Linked DNA regions of Drosophila melanogaster. The protein of the gene in region 3 purifies or fractionates together with the protein of the main gene of each other region. This does not show direct contact. Each region holds a gene or a part of one and is shown on either strand. Other genes may lie near its edges.

Evidence for each region.
Region 1: the proteins of woc (region 3) and cmet purify together in Drosophila melanogaster (affinity purification with mass spectrometry, with the first as the bait; one large-scale study listed by BioGRID). This does not show direct contact.
Region 2: the proteins of woc (region 3) and RluA-2 purify together in Drosophila melanogaster (affinity purification with mass spectrometry, with the first as the bait; one large-scale study listed by BioGRID). This does not show direct contact.
Region 4: the proteins of woc (region 3) and geminin purify together in Drosophila melanogaster (affinity purification with mass spectrometry, with the first as the bait; one large-scale study listed by BioGRID). This does not show direct contact.

The regions. Positions count from the first base shown.
Region 1 is NT_033779.5:11,265,998-11,270,810, forward strand, and holds the start of cmet (CENP-meta), read right to left. Parts: upstream 3,006-4,813; 5' UTR 2,850-3,005; coding exon 2,711-2,849; intron 2,636-2,710; coding exon 2,513-2,635; intron 2,456-2,512; coding exon 2,109-2,455; intron 2,056-2,108; coding exon 1,154-2,055; intron 1,050-1,153; coding exon 885-1,049; intron 561-884; coding exon 1-560. Other genes in the region: cana (CENP-ana), read left to right, coding at 3,907-4,045, 4,121-4,243, 4,301-4,647, 4,701-4,813.
Region 2 is NT_033779.5:10,475,327-10,483,079, reverse strand, and holds RluA-2 (RluA pseudouridine synthase 2), read right to left. Parts: upstream 6,008-7,753; 5' UTR 5,695-6,007; coding exon 5,488-5,694; intron 1,983-5,487; coding exon 1,796-1,982; intron 1,733-1,795; coding exon 1,510-1,732; intron 1,459-1,509; coding exon 1,371-1,458; intron 1,318-1,370; coding exon 1,097-1,317; intron 1,038-1,096; coding exon 847-1,037; intron 796-846; coding exon 506-795; intron 456-505; coding exon 294-455; intron 236-293; coding exon 161-235; 3' UTR 105-160; downstream 1-104.
Region 3 is NT_033777.3:27,258,043-27,265,864, forward strand, and holds the start of woc (without children), read right to left. Parts: upstream 6,014-7,822; 5' UTR 5,735-6,013; exon of another isoform or gene 5,693-5,734; intron 5,410-5,692; 5' UTR 5,351-5,409; coding exon 4,513-5,350; intron 4,446-4,512; coding exon 4,185-4,445; intron 4,119-4,184; coding exon 4,074-4,118; intron 3,907-4,073; exon of another isoform or gene 3,902-3,906; coding exon 2,049-3,901; exon of another isoform or gene 2,008-2,048; intron 1,944-2,007; exon of another isoform or gene 1,839-1,943; coding exon of another isoform or gene 1,815-1,838; intron 1,756-1,814; coding exon 680-1,755; intron 617-679; coding exon 231-616; intron 167-230; coding exon 41-166; intron 1-40. Other genes in the region: CG14262 (uncharacterized protein), read right to left, coding at 6,373-6,633, 6,687-7,364; CG14260 (uncharacterized protein), read left to right, coding at 7,445-7,822.
Region 4 is NT_033778.4:6,654,941-6,658,496, forward strand, and holds geminin (geminin), read right to left. Parts: upstream 1,655-3,556; 5' UTR 1,586-1,654; intron 1,515-1,585; 5' UTR 1,290-1,514; coding exon 711-1,289; 3' UTR 523-710; downstream 1-522. Other genes in the region: Opbp (Optix-binding protein), read left to right, coding at 1-170, 232-285; sced (scrambled), read left to right, coding at 2,572-3,556.

The DNA.
Region 1 (4,813 bases), on a different chromosome or scaffold from region 3:
CATTCTGGGATGTGGATAGCTCTTTCGAAAGTCGCTCGCAATCAGTCGCCTTTTGGATAATCTCCGAGCTTGCCAGGTTAAAGGCAGATTCAACGCTCTCTAACTTGTCGCGAACAGAGACGATTTCCAACCGGAGCTGATCACACTCGCATGAATTTTTCTTGGACTCTAAATCTGCAATCAGCTTCTCCAGTTCCTCACACTTGTTGCATATACTGTCGCCGGCGATGTCTTCCTGCTCTGGGGCAATGGAAAGCATGTGGCCCTCCTTGCTGTTCCGTAAGACATCGCGGGTTAAATTGTCGAGGGACTTTTGAAGACTCTCTATAGTCGACTCCTTTTCTAAAAGGGCAGAGAGTAAGTCATCCACGCGAAGTTTCGATGATTTCTTGTGAGCCTCAAACTCAAACTCGAGGCCCACGGCCACCTGATTTTCCACTTCCATTATTCTCATAGTCTGCTTTAGAGTACTCAGTTTCTCTTCCAATTCGCTGATTTTTGAATTCGCAGCCTCATTATCCGCTCTTAGGCTGGTTACTTCCTTTTCCAGAGCATCATAACTATAAGAAGATACACAAGTAGTAAACTATTGTTAAACACTAAAACTATAATAAAATAAATCAAACAAACAGGTATTGTGGAGTGGTGTTCTATAAACAAAATTTACTGTTAAAAACTGAAACATATACTTAAGTGTTTTGTTTTTATAGAATGGAATAGAATATCGCTGCACTAGTTTTACAGATTTGTATGAATAGGTATGTTAGATTTTGGGTTGACTGCTTAAAGCACAAAAGTCGAGTTACGTTTACATCGTTTTTTACGATGCAGGCACTATGTTTTGGACGACAGATTCCTTGACAGAAAACACCTCATTAACTCACCGCTCCTTTTCGGCTAACGATTCTTGCTCTAAATTATCCCGCTGTGCTGTAACCTCGGCCAGCTTTTCTTTTAAACCCTGCACCTCTTCGCACTCCACCTCAAAATGCTTCTCTAAGCTGGTGAACATTTGCAGGTCCTGGATTTCCTTCTTGATTTTATCCGTTCTGTGCAGGCAAATAAGTGCAGGGATCGGGTCGGGGTATGTGGATGCGATTGTTATGTGATGAATGTTATGGAGGATGATCAAAAAGCTTGCAGAAGTACTTACGTTAAGGGACCCTTGGGAGTGAGGGGCAGGTCTGGCAGTTGCCTGATGGTCAACATGGGTTTGAGGACATCTGGGCGAGGGGAGCCAAAATCAATGCATTCTGCCGGGAGAAATTCCTCACTAATGGAGTTGCTCTCGGTACCGATATCCAGGGAACCCAAAATGTTTATGGTCTTTGGAATGTTGTCCCATCGTTTGCCTGCATTTGAAGTGTGAAAAAACACTGGTTTTGGAAGGTGTGAGACCTTTGGAAATTGGTCAATTCGATCTTCAGTTGTGCCGGTCTCTGCTAGCTCCAAATGCGATCCCGATGCAGTGGGACACCAAGTACGGCGACGCTTCTGCTGACCCTTGTCGCTCAGGGAGTGACCACAGATTATCTTGTGCATGTCGTGTTTTATTTGTCTCTCCAGATGCTCTACCTTTTGCTGGTTCTCGTTTTTGCGCTCTTCTTCGGCCAGCTTATCCTTAAGCACCTTTATTTCTCGCTCCAGCCGCTTCATCATTGTGGCGTCAGATACCATCTCGTTGACTTGGGGCTTAATGCGAATTTTCTTGGCTCGCGTGGCGAAACTAAGGGTAGACTGCGACTCTTCCATGATCGATGGTTTGATTGTGCAAATGATGGATGTGAATGCATTGCCGCCCAAAGAAGCCTGCAGAATGCGCGTCAGCTTGGAATCGCGGTAGTTGGTAAATCTATTGTCCGCGTTTTCCGACAGACTTTTGATAACGTTACTGAGAAAAAGTAAGCTCTTGTTTATATGACCGCCCTCTTTGAGGCGCGCTCCTCGAGCACCCGTTTGGTCCGCCCGCTCTGACCCAGCCAGATCCACCAGGTTCAACACGCTTTGAATCACTGCGTCGTCATCGCTGTGGTCCGACTTTCGGGACTCGATGATCTGTGGGATACATGTTGCAGATTATCGGAAAGAAAATAGCAGGCTGCACTTACTATCTTAAATATGGCATGCGAACGGCTGGACCGCTCGTTCATGTTCGTCTCGCCCACGGTGCGCTCCTTATTGCCCAAGCATAGCAGGCGCAGGAGGTCAACCTCGCTGGTTATGATGCACTCCTCGCAGTTCACATTCACAATCCCATTTCCGGACTCATGGATCTTGAGGTCCTGATTCTTCTTGTTCAGCAGATCGTAGATCTTCTCGTTGTAGATCTCGATGTAGCCCACGCGCAGCAGAAAGTCCCGCTCCGTCTCACTGGAGATCTGTTGAAAGATCTCCTTGGCGGCTAGCACCATGACGCCCGGATTCTGTTCGTCGCCCATCATGGTGTACGTCTTGCCTGAAATGCATGCCCGGTTTTAGGTATACCGCCGCGTATATATAGCACAGTACCCACCCGACGACGTCTGGCCGTAGGCAAAAATAGTTCCGTTGAAGCCCTGCATGCAGGCGTGCACTATGTGCTTGGCCATCCGGTCGAACACCTCCTGGTTGCTGGCGCCCTCGTCGAACACATAGTCTGCCAAACGGAATGGAATGTAAATGAGATAAAGGTCTTGTGGATCAGGATACGCTCAACGCTCTAACCACTCACCGAAGACATAGGGCTCCGCATGGCTGTCCGCCAAGTGGATGGAGCGGCGCTCCTTCACCTGCCAGAGTGAAGTGAGCCCGGGCTCGCAGGGACGCACCTTGATGCAGACCTGGATGGAGCTGGCGTTCTTCGCAGACATCTTGGCGCCTTCTTGGTCTCAATGCTTTATGATAAACAGAACGCAGTTCATAAACAAACATAAAATTCAATGTTTTACAGTAAACAAACATTGATCGACATCTTTGTTGCTCGTTAAATTCGAACAAATGCCGCTTTGCAAAATCAGGGATGTATATGCTTCGATATCTTCGAGTGGCGCTAACGACTCGATAGATAAATCGGTTCATCGATTGTTATCATAGTTCCAAATAGGGCTGCAAAAATAAAAACAGAAACACATTATGTTCTTATCCCACAGGGCTGCATTAACATTCCTGATCAAGGGTCGCTACGGCATATATATATTCTAAGACGTTGTGTTCTTATTGGTAGGGCATGCTAACTAACAAAGTTCTATGACTCAATACTTTAAGGTCAAACAGAAAATAGAACAAGCTCTTAAATACATGCGAAAACTACGGTTTAAATTTCATATAAGTTCGTATTTTTTCTACTAATTCATAACTTCTATTCATAGCACACATATAATGTGGAAAGTATTTGATTCCAAAACAAATATTTGAAATAAATTATAACTAAGCTCCCTAATATAACCACTATAATATTTTCCAAATTTTCAATTTTCCTATTTTTTTTAATAGTGAACAACTGGGATTATTATTCCAATGAAATCTCATGTTTATATCAGACAGTATTCTTCTGTATGCATTAAACAATCCCCTCAGCTTTTGTCTGTCTGTAAGTAAGCATTTAATTTAGCGGTCTTTACTATTTTGGAAATATAGATAATAATAATCTATATTATATATCACGAAAAAGCTCGGAAAAAGTTTTATGTTCGAAGCCTATTGGATTATATTTTCATATTCGCCGAAAGCTCCTCAAACTTTTAAATTGAACTGGCTCGCGCCTATTTACTGGTTCCGTATTTCGATCTGGTTCGCTTCCGAAGCGGTATTTGTTCGAATTTACAAAGAGAAACTAACATGTCGATCAAACTAGCTTTTATAAAACGTTAAAATCTGTTTGTGTCTGTTCATTGTGCATGTCAAACACGTTTCCCACAAGTCGCAAAGATGTCTACGAAGAACGCCAGCTCCATCCAGGTCTGCATCAAGGTGCGTCCCTGCGAGCCCGGGCTCACTTCACTCTGGCAGGTGAAGGAGGGCCGCTCCATCCAGTTGGCGGACAGCCATGCGGAGCCCTATGTCTTCGGTGAGTGGTTAGAGCGTTGAGCGTATCCTGATCTACAAGACCTTTATCTCATTTACATTCCATTCCGTTTGGCAGACTATGTGTTCGACGAGGGCGCCAGCAACCAGGAGGTGTTCGACCGGATGGCCAAGCACATAGTGCACGCCTGCATGCAGGGCTCCAACGGAACTATTTTTGCCTACGGCCAGACGTCGTCGGGTGGGTACTGTGCTATATATACGCGGCGGTATACCTAAAACCGGGCATGCATTTCAGGCAAGACGTACACCATGATGGGCGACGAACAGAATCCGGGCGTCATGGTGCTAGCCGCCAAGGAGATCTTTCAACAGATCTCCAGTGAGACGGAGCGGGACTTTCTGCTGCGCGTGGGCTACATCGAGATCTACAACGAGAAGATCTACGATCTGCTGAACAAGAAGAATCAGGACCTCAAGATCCATGAGTCCGGCAATGGGATTGTGAATGTGAACTGCAAGGAGTCCATCGTAACCAGCGAGGACGACCTCCTGCGCCAGCTCTACATGGGCAACAAGGAGCGCGTCGTGGGCGAGACCAACATGAACGAGCGGTCCAGTCGTTCGCACGCCATCTTCAGGATAGTGAGTGCTAGATTCTTGTATTAATCATATAATATGCAAGATTATTTCTACAGATCATTGAGTCCCGAAAGTCGGACCACAGTGATAACGACACCGTAAAGCAGAGCGTACTGAGCCTGGTGGATCTGGCTGGATCCGAACAGGTGGACCCCGCGGACCACGCATC
Region 2 (7,753 bases), on a different chromosome or scaffold from region 3:
TACTCCACGAGGACATCCCCTTGCACCGCAAAATGATAAAGTAATTCGGCAAAGTAATAAAACAATGCTACAAATGAAGATAAAATGGAAACACAATTTGTTAAACTCTGTAAAAATATTTCTTTTTACTAAAGCGTCGTGTTTGCAATCAATTTTTCCTTTATACTTTATCGTAATCAATATTCGAATTACACGCCCATTCCGGCAATTCGGTTTCGTACTCCCAACCAACGCCCTGAAAATAAGATTTAATTTGAAATTAAATCTTTAAAAATGTATAGTTTGAAACTGACCTTGTATTTCCATGCATGCAAGTACATTATGAGATCCTTTGTGCCGGGGTCTCTGTAGTTTATCTTGCATTCAGAACATTGCGGATCCGAAGTTGTCTTCTTGGAATCAAAGGACCTGTCTGGTTCCTCATAGCACGTTTGGGTGGCAATCTGTGCAGTAGCCTATAAGCATTGTGTTCTCCAGACTTGTACAACTATTTTAAGTTACTTACATCGTTACTTGGTTCAAGGTTTTTTGAAATCACAGGCTTTTCAGTTTCACTATTAATAGGAGCCTGAACTACTGAGGGAGCCTCTACTACTGAAGTACTTGCTGCTACGTCTTTTATTTCCCCTGATACGATTTGATCTCCTTCCAAGCCCAACCAGTTTTCTGCATTATGAATGCTAATTAGGTTACTGATCAACTGTTCCTCGGTTATTCCACCGATATCTCCTCCTCTTCCTTTCAATGGACCGAAAACTTCATGGTTGTACAAAGGATCATTTGAAATGGGATAGCCTGTGAAATACGAGTGTTATAATTGAATGGAATTATCTGGTTGTCACTTACCCAAGAATTGTAAATGCACTCGTATTTGGTGCATTCGTCCTGTTAGTGGTTTGCACAAAACAATACTATCACTGCCCACCTCGCCGATTCTTTTAAATGTGGTCTTACAGTCCTTGCCCTTCGGTGAAACCTTACAAACACCTATTTTGTAGCTCACGACGTCGATTTTCTCATTGCATTCAACTATGCCACTACGAAAGATATGAAAAATAAGCAGATATATAAAAGATTAGATGCATTTTGGACTTACTCTGGAAAGCGTCCTTCAACGCGGCAAACGTATTCCTTTTGCACTTGGCGAGTTCGGATTTGCAGCTCCAATTCGCGGGCTTTTTCAGCAGTCCGTCCAAACAAAAGTAGGCCAGATGTGAGACGATCCAATCTGTGAATGGTTCGCAGGTTCTTCAGATTGTGCTCCTTGGCCAGGATGAAAACTACCGTGTTGTGTCTATATCTTCCACAAGGATGTACCTACAACATACGATTGTTATTAAATCAAATTCCTTCCAAATTAGTATACCTACCGGTATCGATGCCGGCTTATTCACAACCACAATATCCTTGTCCATGTACACAATCTTGATGGGCTGTGAAGTAACAGGGACTTCGTGTCTAGAATGCAAATGTGTGCATATTCAAATGAGATTTCCTGCTGATGCTTACCTATGCACCACATTGGCCAGCAGATCATTGTGCTTGATTTTATAGTCCTTGGGCACTTTCTCAGAGTTAACAGTCAATTTTCCCGCTTCCAGGCTGCGTTCATATTCCTCCGGCGGTGCGGCTCGAAATTCGCGGACAAATACATCCAGAATTTTCTCATCAACCCAACGTCCTTTGGCGAACGTGGTGAATGTGAAAAAATAAGGATACACCTTCCGCAGACCTATAGATTGCAATTTTATAACAGAATATCTTCTAAGTTGGTTTATTAATATGTTGGCCATACCATTCTCAAAATAATACGATGTTTCGTCGTATCTTTCATCGCTGAATCCAGGACGCTTCGTTTTTAGACTATTGGCCTCTAATTTTACTTTTTTCACATGCCCTTCGTCATCTGTGCTGCTAGCTTTTCGCTTTTCCGACAAAACTTCTTTTGATTGCGTTTCAGACTTTTCCTCTGATATGGATATCTGTAAGATAAACCACGACGGGTGGTAATAGTTTTTTAAAATATTTTCAGCTTCATTGAATGTCTTCTTTTTATTTTTGAGCAAAAACACCTTTAGTTCTTGCTTTAAACTGAACAATTGCTTACTATTTAGAAAATTCGTTTAGATTTGAGGAACTTCACTCTTGAAGATACAGAAAATACGAAAGCCTACCGTGCCAAAGTCATCATATATGTATCCTTATCAGCTTATCAGCTCTTAACACATTGGAGCCTTGTTTCCGGTGTTTGTGTGCAAACAATTCCTCGTTTTCATTCTGCAGCCCAAGCATAATTTTCAGACAGACTGTTTGTTTTTTCCTTGTTGCACACTAAAAGGAAAACAAAAACTACAAAATTGGCTGCGAACCAGTAGTATTTTGTTGGTTACTGGTCTACCAGCCAATATGTTCTAGCCAGGAAGCAAACATAGACAAAAGTCCATAATAAAACAGGTCTCTTGAGTTGTTTAAGGGTTATGCAAAGTTTAAAACTATAAAATACAAACATTTTTTATCATTTTTGTGCTGCCCTCCCTTCTCCACATCTCAAGTGCCATAGACATCATTGATTCTGCGTCGGTCCTCGTAGTTTCACGAAGCTCTACAGCAATTACCTTAAGAATTGCAATTACCTTAAGAATTGCAGTGACCTCTGATCCTGCAGAGATTATTCTAAAGCTGTTATCAGCTAACAATGGGTTTCGATAAGGTTTTTATATTGTTAGGCGGTGTTTTTAAGACTAGAGGAGCTAACTCCCTTGGGTACTGCTTCTTGATACACCCTGATTTCATCCGGATCAGCATCTTGGAACTTATCCAACTGGAGGATAATGACATGCTCTTCTTCCGTCGCCTTCATTGGCTCATGTTTCTGTTTCCACATGCTCTTGATGGCACATTTCCAATCCGTCCACACCTGTGCGCATAATTATCATACAAATTGGATATCATCGGCGGCTCCCCTCACTTGCCGCCAATTCGCATTCTATTTTTATCGCGCTTTTTTGTAAACAAACCCACGATTTTTCTTTTTCTTCACATTAACCTACATTGATAACAAATTCAACTTAGCGTTGCCAGATCAATTCAATTTGGCGCCTCGCAGATATCTCAACACATTCGAAAGTGCCATCTCTATGGGTTTTGTTCCCTTTATGGTCTTAATTAATATATATACTACACAGATTTTACATATTAATGCAATTGTTATTTTTATTTATTTCATAATTTTTTGTTTGTCCTTGGCTATTAAAGTCAACATAAATAATGCTTTTGATTGTTCCAAGTCAATATGCCACCATTATTATGCCACAAAAAGAAAGTTAAAATCATTAATATTACCTGTTAATTATAATTAACAGAGGGGATGCAATCAAACCTTATTAAAAAAAATAGGTATTGTGTCTGTGCAAAAAGCCCAACAAGAGTTTTTAAAGTGGCAAGATTTGGGAATATTTGATATGTTCGAATGACAAGGCTTATGTTTTCTTAACAACCACTTTTCTATACATTTATTTATTTAGTTAATTGCGCAAAGTGTGCCTGATCCGCAAAGCCACTTAGTCCACAGGCAGCCTATCTTCCCTTTTAATTCCTCAGTTTGATGGCGCAAGCCAGTGTCAGTGGAATGGAAAATGGAAAAGGAGTGCAGGCGACCAAGTCTTAGAGGGATTTTCCTCTTCCTGCAAACCAGTAACCGCCATCCGCGGCGGTTTTCGTAATGCGTGTTTACATGGTATTGTAAGAATTATAAAAACGACTGGCCCAAAAGGCGCATCGCGGAAACAATGAGGACCGCACTTAGGATACCCACCCGCCCGTAAGCACGAGGCACTGACACTAATAATTGCGGAAACATCACGACCAACAGACCAACTTGACAAAAGTAGCTCGTTAGGCAGCCACCGCGCGAGATGCCGGGACACTAGAAACCCACTGAAACCCCACCCAAAAAAGAACTAATTATGACAAATCCGTGGTAAAATATCTACGAAGGCAAGTGAAACGTGTCCGTCCATTCGTGCGTCCAGTTGGTCCCCACACATAACTTAACTCCTTGCAGACGACAACCTCGAGCTATTTCCCTATATACATATATATACATGTATATAATGTATATGCGTTTGTATACACTCCGGTTTTTAGTTTATTGATTAGTTTAATTAGCGAGAGAGAATTAGGAATGGGTCTGGCGCTTTAAGTGTACACTCTGGCTAAATATTTAAGGCCATTTGACACTGTCACGTACGTTGAGGTGGAGGAACCAGCAAACAAAAAGCCACGAAACTAGCATGCCTGTACCGGTTTTTGTGGGCCATTAAGGGTTTTGTCTAAAATCTGGTTTTTGTTGCACATCTTAGCAAAGCCCTAAATTTTTAAGAATCTACTGACGCCTAGGGGTGGCTTTAAATTTCTATGGCGGCCAGAACGTTGACTCTTCCACTGCAGGCACTGACTGCAGTCTCGTTTATTGGGGCATTTGTGACTCAAAGTCTCGTAAAAATGGCTTAAATCTCCAGGTACCAGGGTGCAGCTACTCCTCCTGGCTCCACCGCATGTTTATATACAATTTTATGACTCTCGAAACTTTAAGGTAATAGAATAAAACTGAAATAAACCCATTTCTTTCACTCACATGTGTGGGTGTCACGCAATGCTGTTTGAGCTTTCTTTCATTATTGTTATTAATTAGTTTGCAACTTACTTCGAAACTTTTTCTGAAGAATAAATACAAAACAACACTTTAAGCTTCAATCAAAAACCTAATTTGCCTCTAGTTTATTACGTCAATTTAGAATTAAACTACTACAGTATGAATGAGCTTAGATATGAAGAGCATTACAACAATTGAAATTGTACCTAATTAATTGTTTAAATTAATGCAGCAAATTGCATTTGCTACTCCCTGATTAGCTTTTTAATTAAGTTTTAAGTGTGCGATTGGAGCTGCTGCATTGAAATTTCCCTCGACACCAATAATACTGCATAAGTGAGGACAGGAATCCGAATCCACACAATTTGCGAGCAGACCGGACTAAATTGTTTTGGGCATTCGATTCCCCCAAGATAAATATGCTCTTTTACTAGCTGCGAATCGGTCAAAGTTGGAGAAGTGGTCGCCAGCCGCGGATTCCTCGCTATAAAGCGGGTAAATAAATGGGAATTAATAATGGAGGGCGACACGCCAGGGTAAACAAATATGCATTCAAGTGCATGAACAAAACGGCATTTAATCAAGTTCAGCTGGATTTTACACATAAATATATTCCTGAATATACAATATATTTCTAACATTTCTGTAATGTTAAAAAATTATAACTATACAGTATATAATTTTAAAAATTTAGTTTTCTTTTTTATAAATACACAAGGTATACTCAGCAAACAATGCGGATCATATGTAATTATATATTGTATGATATCTTGATATATAATAGTAACCGGATCTATGTACTTAATAGAATGTCTTATCTTATCACTACTCACCGGTGGATCTTTGCTTTCAGCTGGACTACCATCCTTGTCGTCTGGACACCACACGCATTCGGGGGAATCTTCCCGATCATGGAGATTGCCATCCGAAGTGGGATTTGTGTATAGCATATGGCGGTGCAGGAATATGTTTTCCACGTCCACGGATGAGGCATCTCCATGCTGGGTTTGTGCATTTCTCAAGAGTTTGGAACTCTCCATTTTCAACAGCCACGAGAATTGTTTATAGTTTTTGATTTGCGGCCAATTTACTAGAATATCTAAGCAACGCTATAATAATAACAACAAGTTAGTCAACACGTGCGCAGATTTCAGTTTCAAACACAAAAACACTCTGCTTTATGCGATGATTCAATTGAATGAGTTAAATGTTACTTTAATTCATAACACAAACACCACTTGCCAAACGAAAAACGTCCCTAAATTGCCGCAAAAACCGCATGAAAATTACGTTTTTATGCCGAAAGCAAGCAAAACCAAAACATTGCCTATCGATAAGCGCGCGAACCACTGATTCGCGCCGATTGAACTTCATTAGGGGTATTTGCACGGAACTTACTGGTTTTTCAAAGCCACTCGAAACCGTTTTCGAAATGCTGAAGTTCAAGATAGGATATATGATATTCGTTAAACTAAAGATATTGCGTGAAAAACCAATACAGATTTAAATTGTAACAAAATGTAAGAAATCGCTTCCACCAAAAATGAGGCAGTCCTGGGATAATGATAATGGCTTAACGTTTTTGAAACCTTATCTTCAAGCTGTTTAAGTTCTTTTAAAATAACACCCAAAATAACAAGCACTCGAATTGAAAATCCAAATTAGCAGCAGTCATAAAGAAGTTAATTTATAACTGCCTGCAATATCGCAAATAATATACGACTCGAGTTGGCATTTATCCAGCCTTAAGGCTTAATTACATTAACGTGTGTTCCCATATTTGGTAACTGCATACATGTGTGCGAACATGCATGTGGGAGTGTAATCGGAGGCCCAGCACACCTTTCTATATATATATACATATAAATGTTATATACAGGTTGGTAAGAGATCTGTGTTGTTTATAAACACGCGCATGATGGGCATGTTTAGAGGCAAAGCTTTTCTATGAAAGCGAAAAAAAACGCGATGTCGTCATTTTTAGTTTTGTCCAGGCGAAAAGTCAATTTAGAACAGTAGCTCAAATGTGTAGGTGTGTGTGCGGGCTCACACACACACATACACGAATGCGGATGGGAGAAATTTAATGGGTGAGCTAGCGCACACCTACAAAATATCGTGCTGATTTAATCACTTTCTTCGTTTTCACAAACGAACGTCAACTTCTCGCACACCAACACACACACACACACACCTAGTCGCACACACCCACACACACCAACCCCTGTTTATTCAGGATGAGCCCTATAGCTTTTTAGCCATATAGCCATATAGCCCCATAGCCAGTGGCCATTAAATGTTGCCTCAAATGACGGGCAAGCCTTTTCTTTGTTGTTCGCTTTCGTGACCAACCGCGTTTCAAGGAGACCTCCACTCCACTCCACTCCATATACCCGTAGACCATGGCGTCGGGATCTGAATGGAATGGCCCGTGCGAAAGTGGGTGAGTTTCGGAAAACAAAAGTCACGCAGTCAAACACGCAATTCGCGGAGCCTTAGCCCAAATTTGATCAAACATAATGCCTTCTGTATTTTGGTTAGTTGCTAATTGGAAAAAATTATTAAAACTAATCCAACTATCTTTGAGTTGTTTCAATAGTCCTTGCTTATCTAAGGATCAACACGAGCTCGCTTGATTTAGCTTAATTTGTTGCCTACTTTTTGGCGCTCAAAAACATGGAACCAAACTTACAAGGATAAAGTTGCTTAGATACTGAAACAAAAATTATGTTTTTTTAGATTATAATAAGAATTTCTTCACTTCCACAAGATCTACGTTACGAATTTCACTTTTGGTGAATCAGATCTTTTATACTTTTGTTTCGCTCATCATCAGCCTCAACATTCTTTTGTTCATTTTCACTGTGTCAATCGGAAAAGGCAAACGCATTGTTTTCAGAATATATGTACATTCATGTTGGTATGTAATTTTTGAGGAATTCTTTCGAATGATTATTTGGTGCAAGTCGTAACTGATATTAGAAGGTTGTGGCTGCAACACCAGAAGTATGATTTTGAATATGAAATTGCTTCGAGCATTCCGAAAAAGTGGATTTTATACGAGTAATTGTGGGTGTGCCAGAGGACACTTACCATTTG
Region 3 (7,822 bases):
TTACGCTGGAACTGACTCATTTCAAGTTGATTCAACTTACGCGAATCGTTGTAAAGCACGGAGAACTTGCGCGCCACCTCGTCAAGGCACTCGGTAAACCGCTCGTAGTACGGATCATAGAATATGTTGTCTATGCGTCCATTCACATACAGATATTGCTGAATGCCTGAAGGAAGAGATTCCAATAAAATCAAATGGTACATGTGTAAACCTGGGGAGTAACTACATACCCAACACAAGGTAGTAGATGGTGTCCGGCGCGTATTCCGTCCCGTTGGGCTTGCGCACTTCCTTGACGAAGAGGCAAAGCGAGTAGTTCAACTCGTCGGCGGTCATTTGAAGCAGCTCCGTCTTGAAGGGCCGCCGGCGCATCGAGCTCTTCTCGATGTCCGCGTTCTTCGTCATCACCCACTGCTTCCATGCGTTCACCCCGAAGGTGTACTTCAGGAACATTTGGGCGTCGGGCTTCTCCTGCGGCTGCTGTGCCTGCTGCGACTGCTGCTGCAGGGCCGAGTGATCCATCTCGCCGCCGCGCTGCCTTTTCACCGGCGAGCGGCTGTTGCGGTTGGGTGGGTCCATGACGACGCCTACGCCGCGCTTGCGTCCACGTGCGGTTCTGAAAGTCATCACATTTAAGTACTTGAGTATTGATCTCTGATTGCCATCTCTCTTAACTCACCGCTGCGTGGCATCAAGCATGTGATGCTGCTGATCTAGATGATGTACTCCCATTTGACCCATTCCGTCGTGACCCATCGGCGACTGGCTGCTGATCGTATTCGCCGTCATCGACGTTTCCAGATCCACCGTCGAGGTCTGGTGATGATTGTCGTAGTCGCCTGTGGCCATCTTGAGGGCTATCTGCAGCATATCGTCGCCGTAGGGATTATGTCCGGCTCCGCTAACGTCCACCACTTGCTGTTGTTGCTGCTGTTGGGCGACGGACTCGAGGCTGTTCTGGTACTGCAGAGCTACCAGGCCCGGATCCGGCTTGATCTCGTTGTCCGAATCGGAGTCCGATTCGTGCTTCTCCTCTGCCACCATCTCGGCCATCATAAGCAACTCCGCCTCCAGTGGATCCTCTGGCATCTTGTCCTGTATCTTCTTGATCTCCTTAAGTATGCCTTGCGCGGTGTTGCGCGTGGTGGGTATGAAAATAGGCACCGGGATTGGCAGCGGAATGGGCACTGGTACGGGGAACGGAGCCGAGTACATGTACATGGGTTGCGGCACGAAGATGGGCACCGGAACCGGGATGAGCACCTTGTTGGAGTAGTCTTTCTCCGTCTGGGTGGCGCAATCCCGCACATCCGGACTACACTGCTCGCCCTGGGTCACCGTTAAGGGCTTACAGCTTATGTTCACGTTTCGCACAGCCTTGGGATATGGTGGCACTGTGATGATCTTGGTCTCCGTTACCGTAGCCGGCCCGAAATCCATAGTCGTGGTAGTATTTCGCCTGACCGGAATGCCCATGTGGGAGCTGCCACCTGACATCGTGGGCGATGGTGAACGCGCCGAGTAGTCTACAGCGTGCTTGCGTGGCCTTCCTCGCTGTGCTGGCGGATGGACACCCGGCATGGACAGCGGCGGTGATGAGGTTCCCGATTCCCGTGGACGTCCACGCTTGCGACGAACCGTCAGATTGCCGATCCGGGCTTCGGTTTCGCCGCTGGCGAGCGATTGCACCGTGGATATAACCGGTAGCATGGTGCCGGAGCCGGATTTCTTGCCTCCAACGCCACCTTTTCCAGTCTGCAATTATCGGGGACATTAATTATATGCAACTTAGGTATGATACTTAATTAATTTACGTTAATTCCCATTTTGGTGGACATTGAATGAAATTAGGATTGCAATTGAAACTTGAATTGAAAGCCAAATTGAAGTAAATGTATTAATAATTAAGCGAGCAGGTAAAAAAAATTGCAAATACTTCGTTTACGTTCAATATTTTAACACTTATTGCATGGCTATCATTCGATTGTAAAAACTTAAAAAAAACCCAGTGTGTACCCTTTTAGTTTATTATTTAGTTTTTGACTCACGTGGGAGAGCTTCAGTTTGACACGTTTGGGCAGGCCCGTGGGAAATGGTGCCGCATTCTTGTTGCCTCGATTGGATTGCTGCTGGGACTTGGAGCTGCCGGCGCTACTGGGCGGTAGGTCGCTGTCCAGCGTGAGGGGAGCGCGGGCGAACTGATTCTGGAACTGCATCACACACTGGTAGGTGCAAAAGTTGCGCATGGAAGCATCCGACATGGTCAAATGATACTGTGGCGTATTGAAGTTGGAACAATTGTCGCATTTGGTAACCGCCCTGGCGGAGATGTTGCAGCTAACGCCGTGCATGGTCAGGCAGTTGATGGAGCAGGTGAGCGTCTCCTGATCGTGCGGCCCACCAATCTGATAGATCATGTCAAAGTTGTACTTCTTCACCTTGCACCACTGGCAGGAGACGATGTGCCTGTTGACGATGATGTACACATTTATGCAGACCCGCGAGCAGAAGACCTTCGGTGACTGCTGTTCGTTGTAGATGGTGTAGGACTCGGCGCTCCGCCGCTCAAAGTATTTGGAGCACATGGCACACGGATCAGCGTTCACGTTGCTCACAAACTTAAAGGCGGAGAAGCAGGGATTCGAGCAGAAGTAGTGCTCTCTGTCCTCCAGCAGCATCTCCACCCTCACTGGCTTCTGGTTGTTGCACACACCGCAGACATCGGTGCGTAGTTTTCGTCGGGGATTGCACATGCTTTCGTAGCGACGGAGGCAGGATTGCGAACAGAAGTCCTTGAACTGATCCTTGTCACCCACCGGGGCAAGGAAGCCCTCCTGCCCGCCGCTGATGTCCTTCTGGCAGCAGGAGCACGTCTTCAGACCCTTCTTAAAGGTGTTAAGGCAGCCGGCGCAGCAGAACTGCCGCACATCGAAACCGAATCGCACGCAGTACTTGCCAAGCGCTATGGAGCTCACCTCCTGCTTGCAGGTCTCGCAGGTGGAGCCAATGGTGCGCTGATAGCTGCCCAGGCACACCTCATTGCAGAAGTCCATGGTCTCCCACATGAGCTGCTTCTCGTCCGTATTGATATCCGCCTCGCAGTCGGCGCAGCGCCTTCGGAAGCTTTCGATCCTGTCCAGGCGCGCCGTCTCTGCCTCCTCCACCGTCCTGGCCACCACGCTGCCGTCGGTCCGTTTGGTGGGCGAATTTTGCGGTGGCTGCAGCGTTGTGGCGCCAATGTTGCGCACTCGAATCGAGTGCCGCTTCAGCTTGAATTTATCTGGCTCCTCAGCGTTGAGCAGATTGAAGCAATCGTCATTGCAAATGTAGAAGCAGTCCTGGTCCTGTTTAATGAAATATTTGCACCGCGTCTTATCCTTGCACTGCAGGCAATCTTGCGTGTTGGCTGGAGTAGCTTCCTCCTCGGCATCTCCGCCCTCGCCATCGGCGCTAGCCTCCGCTTCGGCGGCGCCTTCTTCTCGAACCACTTCCTCGACCAGGAACTTCTTGCGGCGTACAAAGTACTTGCCGGGTTGATCTTCTAGCAGGGCGTCGACACAGGCGGTATCGCAGATGTACTCGAACCCACTGGGAGCAGCAGGCTTTTGCCGAGCCTCCTCCTCCTCCCCCTCCTCAGCGTTCTCCTCTGCCTTATCGTTTTCCTTCTCCTTATCCATTTCTTCTGACTCCTCTGGACTCCTGTACCGAAACCCACAATTCTTTTCATCGCCACACTGTTTGCACTTCTGAACGCTGCCAACGATCCAACTAATGATGATTTTCGGCGTGGAACCAGGTTCACCCGCTCCGGCACTGGAGGATTCCTCGGCTGTGGGCTCGTCGGGATCGGGAACATCGCCACCGGCCTCCTCTTCGTTAGCTGCTGCAGCTACTCCATCTGCTGGCAAAAAAAGGGGATTTACGTTATATACATTTTAATAAGCAATCGTTCTGTATGCTAGGAGCCAATTTTGTAATAACAAACTAAATTTAAAGCAAGAATTAAATGAATAGAATGCAGTCGAATGAAGCAGTTAGTGAGTTTTGCCCAGGAATTAACCCAATCTGCTCACCTTCTGCAATGCCTGTTGCCGCCGACTTAGCTCCAGCTTGAGCATCTGCAGGCAAAATGGATAGAGTAGATGTGGGATAGGGCATTTCAAGTCTTAGTGTGGAGCACTTACCAGTTGGCGTGGTTGGAGATACGTCGGTGGCGTCAACGGCAGCTGCACTGTCGTCTTCTGGATCGGCGGCGGCATCTGCCGGGGACTTTCTATCGTTATCGGGTGTCTTGGCTTGCCGCTCCTCGGCTTCCTCCTCTTCGGCGGCCTTCTCGGCATTCTCGCGGGCCAGTTCCTTCTCAGCTTCAGTCACTTCCGTTTCTTGATCATCGGGAATAAGGCAAACATCTGATTCCTCTGGCTCCAAAACATTTTCCACTGTGTCTATAATGTAAATAGTTCATTCATTTAGTCTTTTATAAACATGCATCAAAGAAGTACTAAGACTTACCATCGCCATGTTCGGCCTCACCAGTTTCCTCGGCATTTTCATCCACCTGCTCCGATTCCGCATCTCCTTCTGCATCCGGATCATCTTCATCGGCGGCCGCATCTTTCTCCCGTTCATCAGGATCTTGGCCATTTTCCTGCTCCTCTAAGCTTGTGTCCACCTCATCTCGGCCCTCCGGTGGCTCTGCATCCTCCGCCTGGTGTGAATCTGCGCCCACGGACTGCATATCTACATCATCTGTCGCCTCTCGATCCAGAGCTGCGTCGTCTTCTGCTTCCTGCTCAGCTTCACCTTCTGCATCCACCTCGCCTTCATCCACATCCATTGCTTCGGGTGAAGCGGGACCGCCGTCCACAGCATCTGCTTCGGCGGCCGCTGCCTCCACCTCTTCCGCAGTGGCCTGGAGGGCATCAGTCTCCTCCTCCGCCTCCTCGGGCTCTTCCTGTGGATCTACCCTCACGGCTTCTGTTTGTGGCTGCTCATCCTCACCGCCTTGCGGCTCCTCGTTGGGCGTTGGCTCCTCGGCGGGCTCCTCCGCATCCACGGGATCAGCTGGTGTACTAGCCGCCTTATCCCGCGACTGGTTATCATCGGCGTCTAATGATCCCTCGGAGATCTGTTCGAAGTCGTCATCCGCCTCCTTGGAAGGAGGCGGTTTGCTTTCCTGCGCAGCTGCATCCTCCGCTGGCGGCGAGGCGGGCGTATCCAGAGTTTCACTGGCCGCCGGAGCAGTCTGTTGTCGATCCTGATCCTGTTGTTCCTCCGACCTGGGGGTGGCCGACTCCGGTCGCGCATTGGAATCGGCGCCGAACGAGTCCAAACTGGATATCTCCTCCATTTCGCTGCTTGATTTTTTAACCGACTTTCGCTGTACGTTTGTTTATATAGACATGAAAACTGCAACAAAAGGAAAACAAACAACAAATGGTTAGGGCTCGTCTATCGATAACATTCGCGGCGCGGCGGACTATCGGCTGGCCAGGGCCCCACACCATTGCCGCCTAAAATGTGTACACACACACGCACAGGCACACCGACGCACACACACACACACTGAGCCCACGGTACAGTGCACGAAAAAACAAAACATGCGCCTCCAGAGAACAAAAAAAGTGGGGAAAAAAGGAGGAGTGTGTCTGTATGCGCCGCTCTGCCAGGCAATTAATATTACTGCACTTGCATTATCTTTTTTGGCCGCGTTGCATGGGCGGCTTTTCCGTACTTTTTTTGCTGCCTTGCCGTACGGTACTTCGATAATCCGCAATCCGAGCGCCGACTTTTTTTTTCGGACAGCACGAGTTTGTTGTGGTGAGCGCGTCTCCACAGGCGAATTAACTGCCTTTCACCGCTGCGCGTGCGGGCACATCATTAACGGTCGGTTCACGGTACGCGCAAAACTTTTCATCAATTACCAAACACCTTTTTGCACTGTGCAATTTCTCGCTTTCTGGCCACTGTGTGAATTTTCGGCTTTATGCGAGTAAAATGGCGCACTAGTGTACCAAATGCGGCCCTCGCATAACGCGTTCGCTTCTTGGCTGGTATCTGCCGGAAAATACCGAAAATGGCGCATAAGAAAATACCGGCGTGAGTGGTGCAACCGGTTGGCAGCACTGCTCGTTTATCTTTTTGAAAAATGCTTCTAAAGTTTGGATCGCTTTTGATCAATAGGAAATTATTGAAAACTACAACTTAAATATAGACTGTCTTTCATCTAAGCTTCCCCTTAGATGAGCTTCCAGTTTGCCATATGCAAAAGATACCCAATACAATGCTAATGAGAACTGATATTTTATTGGCTTATTTTTTTTAAATTTTTGGGTTTTATGCGCGAAGCTTTTGGGAATTCCAAGTAGTTTTCTAGTTTTGATTGATGAATCCCTCGGCGTCCAGAAGAACATTGGGGAAATACTTGATAATTTTGGTGAAGTGCGGGAATTTTTGCGTGTTGGCGAATGTAATCTCATTGATCTCCTGATACTGCTTTAAAATCGTGATGAGTTCATCGGGAGGCACTGCATCCGCCACCAGCCAGTGCTGGATGGCGTAGTTTAGAGCATAGACCGGGAGTTTCATTAAACTGGGTTCGTGGATCAATGATGCGCCTTCCTCTATGATTTTCTAAAGGATAACTAACTAAATTAAGGCTCCATTTTATATTCCAATCTACTAACCTCGATGCAAACGCGCTCCACATCGATGATGTTATGCCGGAATGCTAGGTCGAAGGCAGGAAAGATGCCATCCAGAGGCAATTCCTGCTCCTTTAGTTTCTCAGCAAAGGAGCGAAGGAGCTCCGGCATGTTGTACGCGCAGGACAGGATGAACATATCCCCCACCAGCTTCAGCTGGACCAGCGGCGAGGTCACCTCGAAGGTGTATATGAACTCCAGGAAGATCTCCACGCTCTCGGGCGAAACCCCATTGATCTGGAGTACGCCGTTCCAGTCCTTGTTCTGGTACACGTCCTGCTCCAGTTTGTCGGAGGCAGTGGCCAGGAAGATCCGATGGCAGCCAAATTTCTTGTAGCACACACTGACCGCCGGCTCATCGGATTGGGGGCAGTTGCTCAGGACGTGCACCTGGCAATCGGCATCGGCTCCACTGCGAAAGTATTCCAGTCTGCGGTTTCTACTCGTAGCGCGTTTGGACCCATCACTCGGAGAACCCAATGGTAAATTCTCCTCAACATCCGATGCAGCTGTGGTTCTGGGCACAACGAGTTCCGGCCTCAAGTTCTGGATCCCTCCCTGGTCGTTCGCCTCACCCTCCTCCTCCTCCTCCAGGTCGGACCACCGATTGTTGCTTCCCAGGTGGGCTTTGCCGGCGGCCTCCTTCTCAGAGTCTGACATTCCTGCCAGGGAAACCCTAATTTCGAATTCCAAATTTTGTGCTATGTGAGAGCAAAGCCTCCAAAAAATCCCCAGTCACTATGAACTGCAAGCTACGCCGCCTGGACCTGTTGCGGAATGGCCAAAAGTCGGACTGCGAGCTCCATGTCTCGCAACCGGACAAGTTGAAGGAGGGCAAGCGTTGTCCATGCATTTTCCGCTGCCACCAGGTGATGCTCATCTCCGCCTCCGCGGAGTTCGAGCGCCTGATCAGGGATCCCGAGTTCCAGAAGAACAAGCGAGTGATCAGCGTGGACGACGCCTCTCCCACCGCCTACGAGGCGTTGCTCCTCTACATCTACACGTACGAGGTGTGCAATGCGGTGACCATCGACATGTGCGGTGACCTCATGCTGCTGGCCGAGCGCTACGAGATGCTGGACTTCATCGACTGCTACATCGACAAGCTGGCCCACCAG
Region 4 (3,556 bases), on a different chromosome or scaffold from region 3:
AGCAGGAGAATCCCGCCACCTCAACTGATGCTGCACACGTCGCTGAGACCGATGATTCCGAGACTGCGGTGTTGATAGCGGCAGCCGAGGCAGATGCCGCTTACATAAACGCTGTGGTAAACGATGTAGACATCGTGGGCACCGTACCCACCTACGAAGAGTGCGTTGTGGTGAGTTACTAGTTCTTTGTATCTCTTCCCAAACTTACCTTTTTCTCTTCCTTTATTGCAGTTTGACGTGGATAACTTCCACAGCGAGGAAGTTATTACAGATTGGCTTAAGTAGCAGTTCACAGTTTTACATCCAATAAATATTTGTCTCAAAAATATGTTGTACCTTGAGTATTTTATTTTTGCGTTAGCTCCCCACACATTGAAATCCATCCGCATTGATGTAAGCTAATAAACACATTTGTTTTGATGTAGAATTAATGAAAGGAAAAGAGCATATCTAAACTAGCATATGGATGCGAAATGGTTTATATAAGTTGCACATAAAATACAGGAATACGAATTAAATATTGTGTGCAATTGTGCAAATGTAAAACTTTATTAGGATTATAACTGGCGTGTAACAAGTAAATATATTGCTGGCGTACAATTAGACCAGCCGTTGTGTTGGCTGACGACGAACAGGGATATAAACGCGATATTTAACTACAACTAAATGTAAAACCTTAGACTAAAAAAAACGTGTGATTGGTGTGTAGCCTAGGCGTTGACCTTGTCCTCGTCACCCGTAGTGTCGTCCTCCTCCACCTCGCTGTTGTCCTCTTCGCAGATCTCCTTCAGGACCTCCACCAAATTCTTGGCCTCGTCCAGTTCCTGGCGCATAGTGTCCATCTCCTCCTCAAGCCCCTCGATGCGCTCGTGCAGATGGCGGTTTTCGGTGAGCGAGTCCTCCAGCGCCAGTCGCCGCTGCTCGGCCAGCAGCTTGTAGTAGTTCTCGCCGGGTTCGGCTGTGCTAGTGAGATCCTCTGCCGTGATGGGCTTGTCAGCATTGCCAAGCGGAACGGCCTCAGCATCAGTCTGGGTATCCGCATCCTTTGTGGAAATCGCGGGCGCCGTGTCCACGCATTTGCGCTTGCCGTACTTGGGCGCGACTTGGACGCCGGCCTTCAGACGACTCAGCTGATCCACGATGGAGGCGCGCCCTGAACCAGTGAGGTTCTCCTTATCGTTTACGTTGCCCTGCAAGGGTTTCAGGGTCTGTCTCTGCTGCTTCAGGTGCTCCTTCTGCTCGGCCTCTGTCTCGACTTGGATGTAGACCCTGGCAGCGCTCGAAGACATCTTCGGAGATGTGTATTGTGCTTTCGGTGGGTTTGGTTGTCAGGCGGCAGAGCGTGTGCTACTTGCTTGTCTGTTGTTTATGCATTAATTTGTGCGCAACGCTTCACAGTTTTCCATTCGTTGTAATGGCCGCCAAAAAATGCCGATGCCGCGCGCTGTTGTCCAACACTGTTTGCTCAAGGGGCTGCATCACATGCAATTTCATCCCTCGATTTCGTGTCACGACTATCGCAAAAAGTTACCAAATTATTTTAGGAATGTAAAATTAAGATATCCCTTAAAATATAATTACAAACCTACAAAAATAATGTGAAAAATAACAAATCCTACGACTGCTATGTAGTAGAGTACTTCAAAATATTACCAATCATTCATATTAAATAATTATGTTAATAAAATATTAAATAAAAGCTTGCTGTATTCTTGCTGGTGGATGCTTATCAAAAAAGTATAGTATTAAAATTTCTGTATAAAGCAAAACTAAAAACAAAAAATGCAGCTTACTTTTTGGAAACAGTTTTCTAGCGATGTTTTTAAATTGAAAGAAAACCATACCTACCCTGTGTTTTAAACGACAAAAACAGTTAGACAGATACCTAATTTTAAAGTTAAATTTTTACTTCTTTTGCAAATCATAATTCATACTCAGCCAAGTAGAAGTCAAATATACCCCAATGTCGGATGTAGAATTTTAAATACTAAAAGGAAATGCCTAACATTTTTGAAAACATCATTAGCGTTTTTTAATAATAAATATTAAAATAGCTATAAAGCGAAGTATAAATAGGATTTTAGTTTTTATTTGTTTGGTTTTAGACCTGGTTATGGATCTTGAAAATAATTTAAAAGATTGTGTAAATTAGTTAAGAGATTATAAATAAGAATTGCTTGGATACTACCTTCTTATTAAGCTAGTACTCAAGATGTCCAAATAACATGTAAGCATTTAGCATTTAAAAGTATAAATAAAGAACTTAAAAGAGCTGTGTAGCTTAGGCTGAGCACCTTAAGTTTGATTGATGTATATTGAAGTTATAAATTCATTTGTTGGTCTTCTAGAAACGCGATTTCTGTGATATTCCGCCAGGTGGCAACGCCAGTCACGTCACGAGGACACGAAGGATAAACGTGCGATAAGAGAATAGCCGATAAGAGCTCCACCCAGTCGCAAAAAAGATGTAATTCTCGAAGTAGCGGATATAGATCGTTTACTTTTTTATTTTTCACTCGCAACTCATTCACCGCACCTCCATCCGCCCCACCACGTAGCAGTAGCCCCAAGATGGACCACAACGAAATCTCCATGACTATGGACGCCAAGCTGGATACACACGATAAGCGACCAGTGGCGCTGCGTTACAAGACATGGACCCGCTGCCAAGTGAAAATAGAGGCCATTAAGTGTGTGCCCTGCTTCCTGCGGCTCAGTTTCCAGGCCATGGAGACCGAGTCTCACTCCCAAGAGTGTCACCCCGCTAAACCCATTAGCGTCTCCGTAAACGTTCCGGGCGTCAGCTTGAGCCTGGCTACCTCGCGCACGAAGCAGCACTCGTACGGGCTGTTTTGGACGCAAAATCGGCGGGACTGCTTCATCTATTTCGCCCTGGAAACGGAGACATCCTGCCGACGTCACATGAAATGGATGCGGAAGTCGATTAAGAATCTGGAACTTTATCGCCAGGTCTTTCTAGAACAGCGCCGGCTGAGCAGGGGTCCCGGAGGTCTGGGCCCACTGCCTAACCTGCCGGAAACCCTCGACGCTAGCGCTCTCTCTCCGCGAGTCTCGCAAATATACGAGGAGATTTTTGACGGCAGCCGCATCTCCCGCGTCTCAATCGCATCCGGCATTTACGAAGAGATGAAGCCGTCAGTCATGGAGACTCCTTCACCGCCACCGCTGCCCGCACATCCTTACCGTCAGCGAATAAACACTTTTGAGTGCGCCCAGCTTGGCGAGATTGCGCGGTCCAGCACCAATCCCGAATCGGAGCTGGCCAAGAAGAAGAAATACAAGAACATGCTGGACAACCTGTTCGGGAGTTCACGTCAAAAGCGTTCCGGCAGCACCAGCGAGGTGGCCAATGAACCCAGCGATGAGGTCCTGCCACTGTATGAGAATGCCCCCACGCCGGAGCCTGTGCTTCCGGTAAAGCGCACATCCCAGTTGAACAAGTCTCAGCGTAATAGCTTCTCAAGTCCGGACTTGTCCAAACTCAATCTGCTGGACACCTTTGGAGAATACTTCGAGGCCCAGAACCATGAGTCGA